Linked DNA regions of Cricetulus griseus. The protein of the gene in region 1 purifies or fractionates together with the protein of each later gene. This does not show direct contact. Links are inferred from orthologs where the notes say so. Each region holds a gene or a part of one and is shown on either strand. Other genes may lie near its edges. The genes, in order: Pitpnm3 and Vapa.

Region 1 (3,819 bases):
AGCATGGAGACAGTGGAACCTCTTAAAGATGGAGCTTGGTAGAAAGTGATTGGGCTGTGACTGCCTTGGGAAGGGATTCATGCAGGTCTTGTGAGTGGGTAAGTTCCTGGGAGCCTATCTTATCTAAATGATCTCAACTTTCACATACCTAGAACTCTAACAGTTTGACCTAGATTGCCCCTAATTACCTATGGTTCCTGAGTGCCACTCTATGAACAAAGGAAGTATCCTGTTGAAGTGCCCTGTAGTTGTTTTGGCCTAGGCAACCCCAGATGCCCCCCCACACAGAGAGTCCTATAGGTCCCAGGCACAATGGTAGCCTCTACCCCCATCCTGTAACACACATGCACAGCAAGGTCTTGGGGGAAGCAGAGGCTCACCTTGATGCTCATCCAGTTTCCCCATGGTCTCAATCTGCTCCACCAGGTCATTGGAGCTCCACTGGCTCATTCCAATAAGGATGGCGCTCTTACCTTCAGCCACCTCCTCTGAGGGAAGGGGAGAGATGGATATTAGTAGACAGGGCTGGGTAGGGTTGGCCTTAACCATAGCTGTGTCAGGGAGTACTCATTTCACCCATAAATTGAAATATACTTGAACATTTTCATTTGCAGTGCTAGAGATGGAACCCGGGGCCTTGCACATGCCAGACAAGTGCTCTACCACTGAGCTTCATCCTCCACCCAAGACTTTGACTACTGAAAGAATCTTCACCTACAGGACTAAACTATTGAGGAATTTGTCATTGCAACCATGCCTTGTTGCTGTGACTCACTAGGGTCCTATGTGCTACAGCAAAAGAAAGTGACAACGAGGCAATCATCCACTCCTAGAATGGAGACTGGCATTTCTTGGAAAGAAAGAACCAAAAACTCATGATTTGCCCACAGTCTTTCTTCAGGAATGTGTCTGGACTTCTATGAACCTCCATTTTCCCCATCAGTAAAATGAGACAGGCAATGTCCAGCTCACAGGGTTCTGGGAAGGATCAAATGAGGTGAAGGATTTCAGAGCCTCAGTGCACAGAGGGCACCCAGAGATAAGAGCCACTGTGCTCATTTCTTCTCCTGACAAGTCATTCACGAGCAGGACTTAGGCTGGCTGGGACTGGAGAGCTGCTGGAACAGCTCTGAGGTAAGGAGTGGGGGGAGTCTTCTGGTTCTAAGCTGTATGAACTGTATGGAGACCTTAGCTTCCATCTCAACTGCAGAAACCTTTTAATGTCTCCATTCCTGCTCAACTCCCCCAGCCCTGTCTCTGTACTTAATGATTATTCTGGCAAGAAGCAGTGGGATCATATTCCCTGTCCACACCATAAACAAGCCTCTGGGTCTCCCACCACACATGTGACACAGTCCCTTATCATGGGAAGGAAAAGAGCACACCTGTGGGAACAGACACACTTCTCATTGCCAGTGCCCACCCCTAGATGAGCCCTTGTGGTGAAGAGCTTTGTGCCTTCCTTCACATCACAGTCAGCAAGGATGTTGAGAAGGTTCAGGATAATGAACAATAAAAGCTGATATCTGCCTTTCTGTTAGAGGGTTTCTCCAGCAACCAACATGGTGGACTGAAAGGTTTGGGAGCTGTCCAGCGTTCTGACTCACACTAGCACTCAGCAATTCAGATCTCATCTCTGAAAATGCCTCCTGCCTTATTGTGTTATTTATTTGATTGATTTAACAGTCCTTATGAAACTTTTTCTAGTGATATGGGTATACGTGATTTACAAATATTAATTCATAAGCTAAACATAGTGGTGCATGTCTGCAATCCTAGCACTCAGAAGGTGAAGGCAGGAGACTAGAAGTTCAAGGCAGCTTTAGTTACATAGTGAATTCAAGCCCAGCCCAGACTACATAAAACCCTATCTCAAACCACATCAAGCAAAAAAAAAAAAGAAAATTAATTAAATTCTCACAAAAATGGGACTAATAATGGGGCTAGAAATGGCTTTGTCAATAACATCATGCTACACAAGCATGAAGACTTACAGATTACCAGAACCTACAAAAAAAATAGCATCACATTCCTGTAACCCCAGTGCTGGAAGTTGTGGGGCAGAGACAGGTGGATCCTGAAGCTGCTTGACCAGAACAGCCTTGTCAAATCGAGTTTCAGACCCTGCCTCAAAAAGTAAAGATGAAGAGTCATCAAAAAAAGAAAAAAAAAAAAAAGCACCCGACATCAACCTCTGGTTTCCACGTCACACACACACACACACACACACACACACACACACACACACACACACACGAGCAAACCCACAGTAATGAGTATATGCACCCTACAAACACAACCCAACATCTTATACACACAACAACAACAAGAAGAAGAAACAATGATTACTATCTTTATTTTGTAGACAAGAAAACTGAAAAAAACAGAAGTTGAATAATCCTTGCTCAAGATTTCTGCCTTGCACCCAGATTCAAAACCAGATATAGTGGGAATTGGGTGCACTCAGTTATCCCTAAGCCTGCCATTGTGGCATATATCTGTAATCCCAGCACTTGGGAAGCCATGGTAGGAGGATCATAAGTTTGGGGCCAACCTAGGGTACATGTGAGAATCTGTCTCACAAAATAGAGGGTAAAGAAAGCCCTACCCTGACATTTCACCCTCTCAATACTCTGTCCCAGACATCCTGTATTGGTTGGCCTCATACACCTGGACAGCTTTCTCAGCCAGGTGTGTTCTTTCTGGTGACAAGTTCACACCTGTTAAGTAGTATCTAATACTGGGCAGAGCTCTAACCAGCTTCTGGTGTCAATTGTAAAAGCTATGAGCTTTGTTTTTGCACACACACACACACACACACACACACACACACACACACACACACACACAGAGGTAGCTCTCCAACTCTTCTAGCAAGCTGCCACAGGGACAAATACTATAATAAACTTGAAAGAATTACACAAGCTAAAACACTGTAAATATATAAGGTGGTGTTATCCTTGAAGAAACAGAACCACAAAGCCAGGCATAGTGGCACATGCCTTAATTCTGTCTCTTGGCTCAGTTGGTTACCCAAGCAAGCAAGTATTCCTTTGCCCATTTCAACAACCATGCTACAGCGAATAGACTCCTAAGCACATAATGTGTGTGTGTAGGATGTTTTCTCTGTCCCACAGGAAACCAGTGATGTGGAGGACACCACCATAAAGAACTACGATGTGGGAAGACCAGAGAGTGGAATGCCAGGTGCAGTGCCAGGTAGGTGATCATTACATGCTAATTAGTGATTCCTATAATGCAAGAGATTCCACCCCAGGGGTGTATGTGAGGCCTTTAGTGCCCTTGGGGGTCTGAAAGGGCTCCCTAGCTCTGAGCATGCTGACTTCTATATAACTTTCTATTTCTTTCTGTCTCTCTCTCCCTGGTTCCTATATGGCTCAATTCCCTTTGTTTTTGGTCTCTTGTCTTGTTTTTGGCCAAACACCTCTTTCTTTCACAAACTCAGCACGATCTCTCCTGCCTGGTTTCCAGTCCCTTCAGCCCAAAGGTGGGCTCTTTGGGGTTCTCTTCCCATGAGCCTGTACCTTCCATGGTCCTTGAACTTGGCTGTGCTCTCCCAAGACTTCCTCACTGTCTCTCCCTTGTTCTACCACACCCAGTATCTGTCCCCCTCCCCTGCCTCTGGGTCTCTCCTTTTCTCTGAGAGGAAGGGCCTGTTTAATCTCTCCCATGTCTTTGGAGTTGCATTCCTTCTGCAGGATCTTGTCTCCTCCTACTTAGAGTCCTCACTCCATATGCAAGGCTTATCCTGCCCTTTGCCCTCTCCTCTTCTGGATCACTGGCTGTCTTATGCACCCC
Region 2 (3,819 bases), on another chromosome or scaffold:
TTTATACCACCCCACACCATAATATCACCAATATAAAGTCACCTTTTTCATTTTAGACTTTTAACTGCTAAAATTTTTTAGAAGACATAGGAGGTTAAGTCAGTAATAGAGCATCTGATAGCAAGCAGGAGACCTTGGGTTTGCTACTGACAGACATAAACACTACAAATAAATACATAAAAAGGGCAAGCTTTATGCAGATATAAACTGCTGATCAAGGCATTTACCAAATTACATTTCACAGCATCACACAGCAGTCATCTGTACCAGGATCAGAGACTGTGCAGAACCACTCTGGTGGCCAATGGGACTACAGTGTTAATGCTGTCAACCAGACAGGTCTAGAATCACCTAGGGCTGCAAAATTCTTTCTTTTCTATACTGGGTTAATCGAGATGGGGCAACAGACCCTAATTGTGAGTGAGTGAGTGAGTGAGTGAGTGAGTGAGTGAGTGAGTGAGTGAGTGGCACCGTCACATGGGCGGGTCCTCAACAGAAAAAAAAAAAGGAAGAGCAATGAGCACCAGCATTCACCGCTGTCTCCTGCCTGCAGACTACCAGCTACTGGTGCTAGACTGCACTGCTCCTCAAACCAAGTCTTCTTCCTGAAGCTGCCCGTGCCAGTACTTTCTGAGGGCAACAAGGGGTTCTAGTGCACAACCCTGACTACCTGACCTGCCCGCACATTTCCCACTTTTCAAGTGTGAAGAGACTTAATTACCTCAATTTGCTCTGAGTTTCTCCTGCTGACATTTGTTCTTTACCGCAATCTCCCTAATGTCCAACCAAGTCCATCTCTAGTATAAAAAGTCTGTACCTGATATATTTTGCTAAAATATTTACTCTATTTTCTTGACAATAATTAAAATTCACTTCAAACTGAGTTTTCATACCCCATCCTGCACAACCCAACCTGAATTTCAAAGGGGAAAGCATGTGCCTCCCTCTGTAAGGCAGGCAGTACTCAACAACAGACGAGTCCTCAAGTGTTGCCTAACAACGAAGACAGTGCTGGGCAGCAGAGCATTTGCCTCACACACATAATGGTCATTGGCTCAACCCCAAGTACAGGAGCAAAAAATGCAGAAGAAAATCATACTGTTGGCCCAGTGTTGACTACAGAATGATATATATGAAGCTAGTAGTGGAGAGAGGGGAATTCTAATGACTTTAAAATAAAAAATTAAAGTCCCAAATAAATGTGGGGTGTAATGCTCACCATTAATCCCAGCAGACAGGGGACTAGGACCATGAAATAAGCCAACCTTAGCACCTCGGGTGAGAATAGGCTACAGTGTCAAGACTGTATGCCATACATTCTCCACCACTGTATTCTTTCTGCCTGTCTGCGGTAGCCCCACACAGAGATTTCCACTGTACTAACTTTGTAGGGGCTATCAGAAAGGAGCTAGGGACTACACATAGAAAGTCAAGGTCAAATCTACAAGCATTTGCAATGCATTCTGTGAAGACAGGAACTAAAGGACATTTTCATCACTGTGTTGAGTAAAGGGTTGTCAATACATAAAGACGGTGTATGGCTATGTTGTCAGAATTAAAGTTTTAATCTGTGAATTGAAGTATCTGAACAACAATGCTCTCTGAATGTTTTTTCTTCCTAATCTAACAGCAAATGCATGGTTTCTCTAGGCCCATGATTACAAAAAAATAATTCCAAATATAAGGCCAAACAGAATTAAAAATTTAGATAAAAGATTTGTTGACAGGTCTCACCATGCAGTCCTAGATAGCCTGGAACTAGCTATACAGACCAGGTTAGCCCTGGACTCACGAGAGTTCTGTGCCTGTCTCTGCCTCCCTAGTGTACATCAACTGCACCAATGCACTCAGCTAATGAAAGGTATTTTTAAAGCCTTATTAGCAGGAGGATGGATCTCTGTGAGTTCGAGGCCAGCCTGGTCTACAAGAGCTAGTTCCAGGACAGTCTCCAAAGCCACAGAGAAACCCTGTCTTGAAAAAAATAAAAAATAAAGCCTTGGTAAGGGGGCTAGAGATGGTTCAACTGTTTAAAAAAAAAAAAAAAATTGGCTGTTCTTCCAGAAGACCTGGATTTGATTCCTAGCACCAACATGGTGTCTCACATCCATCTGTAACCCTGGTTCCAGGGGACCTGATGCCTCTGCTGACCTCCACTGACATAAGGTACAAGTGGTGTGCATACACACAACATGTAGGCAAACACCCACACATGTAAAATGAAATCTAAAAATGTTTAAAGCCTTCTTTTATGTATATCCTATTCTAAGTCAAATCAGAAGAACAAGAACGTATAAACATTTCTGAACTTTCCTGTAAGTAATAAATGCTTAAAAGAATTACACAGAACCCATTCTACCAACAAACTCAGATACCCTAACCTTATTAGCATTCAACGATATACATGCAGAGGTAAATTATGGCCTCAATTTTAGTCAGAAAATTTTTTCTAAATCCCAGGGCATTACAGGTAAATAAAGGTTACTATTCTTGTATTTTCTTTATGCAAACACAAATGCTTGTTGAAAAGCAGTGTTTGCCAGCTCTCACTCTCACTAATTACTATGTACCTTCTAGGCTAATTCAAACAAGCTACAAATTCAATTTTCAGCATATGCTCCCCAAATCTCGTTCAAGGGAAAAGCCACACGAACTCAACAGTGTTCACTTTTATGTCCAACTGTGACTCCACTGACCATTGTTTCAGAGCAGAGCTGTCCCTGTACCTTTCAGCCCTATTGTAATTTTAAAATCAGCTTCAAGTGTGAATGCTGAGGATGGTGACAGTCAGTAGGCTGCCCGCATGCAGAAGTCCTGGGCTCTCTCCAGCCCCAACACAGAACCAGGTGCAGTCTCAGCACTTCTAAGTGGAGGCAGGAGGGTAAGAAGTTTGTCATCCTTGGCTTCACAATGAGTTTAGAGGCCAATCTAGGCAACATGAGATATTGCTTCAAAAAGGCTTTTTAAAATTCTAACCTTTAATACACTCAATATTACTTATCTCCTTAGGTAAGGTATCTACATTAACTTACTAACACTAGTAGACGCCTACTTCTGTTAGCTCCTATGACAAACCTGCTTCAGCTCTTTTAGCTCCCTGGGATCATTCTTCATGTGATAACTGGCAGGTGTTGCAACTGTGTTGCTGACGGTGCTGATTGAAGTGACAGCTGAAGCAATCCCTGGTGGAGTTTTACCCTGAGGTAGCATGGGAAAAATATTCTCAGATTCATACCAAACTGATTTCTCCTGTATGATATTGGGAATGACTAACACAAATAGCTTTAGCCTGTAAAACATTGACATCTTATTCCATAAAAATAATGCATAAGAAACAGAACATCAAAGCAAAACTGGCTTTTCGTATTATTTCTCACACAAAACTAGGTATGGCCTTTTGCATACTTCCACTTAAATGTATATACTTTAAAAACAAAAACAACTCATACTTGTCATTATCTGAAAAATATTCAGCTTCATGTTCTCTTACCTTTGATAACACTTGACGTGAACATTTTTCCCTTGAAAGCTAAAAACTGCTAATGATCTGTAGGCCTCTTTTATTCTCAGGGCCCCGTCACCTCCCAAACACACAGCAGGCCATTAAAACCCAAAGACTGATTAACACTCTGGTTAGCCTATCGTAAATCCACAGTTCCCAACTTACCTCAAGTCCTCTTAGTATAGTTAACATAGAGTAACTCAACAAGGTTGGCACAAAATAGTATTTAACAGACATCCAATCTATTCTGTCTCAACAAAAGTAGCATGTACTCTGAAATACAGAAGGCTCCTGACTCCTGCTCCATTCGGACCCCTTGT

The links.
Region 2: the proteins of Pitpnm3 (region 1) and Vapa purify together in Homo sapiens (co-immunoprecipitation; 3 studies listed by BioGRID and IntAct, with this or other methods). This does not show direct contact. The link is inferred for Cricetulus griseus from reciprocal best matches to the Homo sapiens genes PITPNM3 and VAPA.

Annotation. Positions count from the first base shown.
Region 1 is NC_048600.1:85,950,599-85,954,417, forward strand, and holds part of Pitpnm3 (membrane-associated phosphatidylinositol transfer protein 3), read right to left. Parts: intron 489-3,819; coding exon 381-488; intron 1-380. UniProt on the Homo sapiens protein: Catalyzes the transfer of phosphatidylinositol and phosphatidylcholine between membranes (in vitro). Binds calcium ions.
Region 2 is NC_048595.1:454,539,351-454,543,169, forward strand, and holds part of Vapa (vesicle-associated membrane protein-associated protein A), read right to left. Parts: intron 3,196-3,819; coding exon 3,073-3,195; intron 1-3,072. UniProt on the Homo sapiens protein: Endoplasmic reticulum (ER)-anchored protein that mediates the formation of contact sites between the ER and endosomes via interaction with FFAT motif-containing proteins such as STARD3 or WDR44.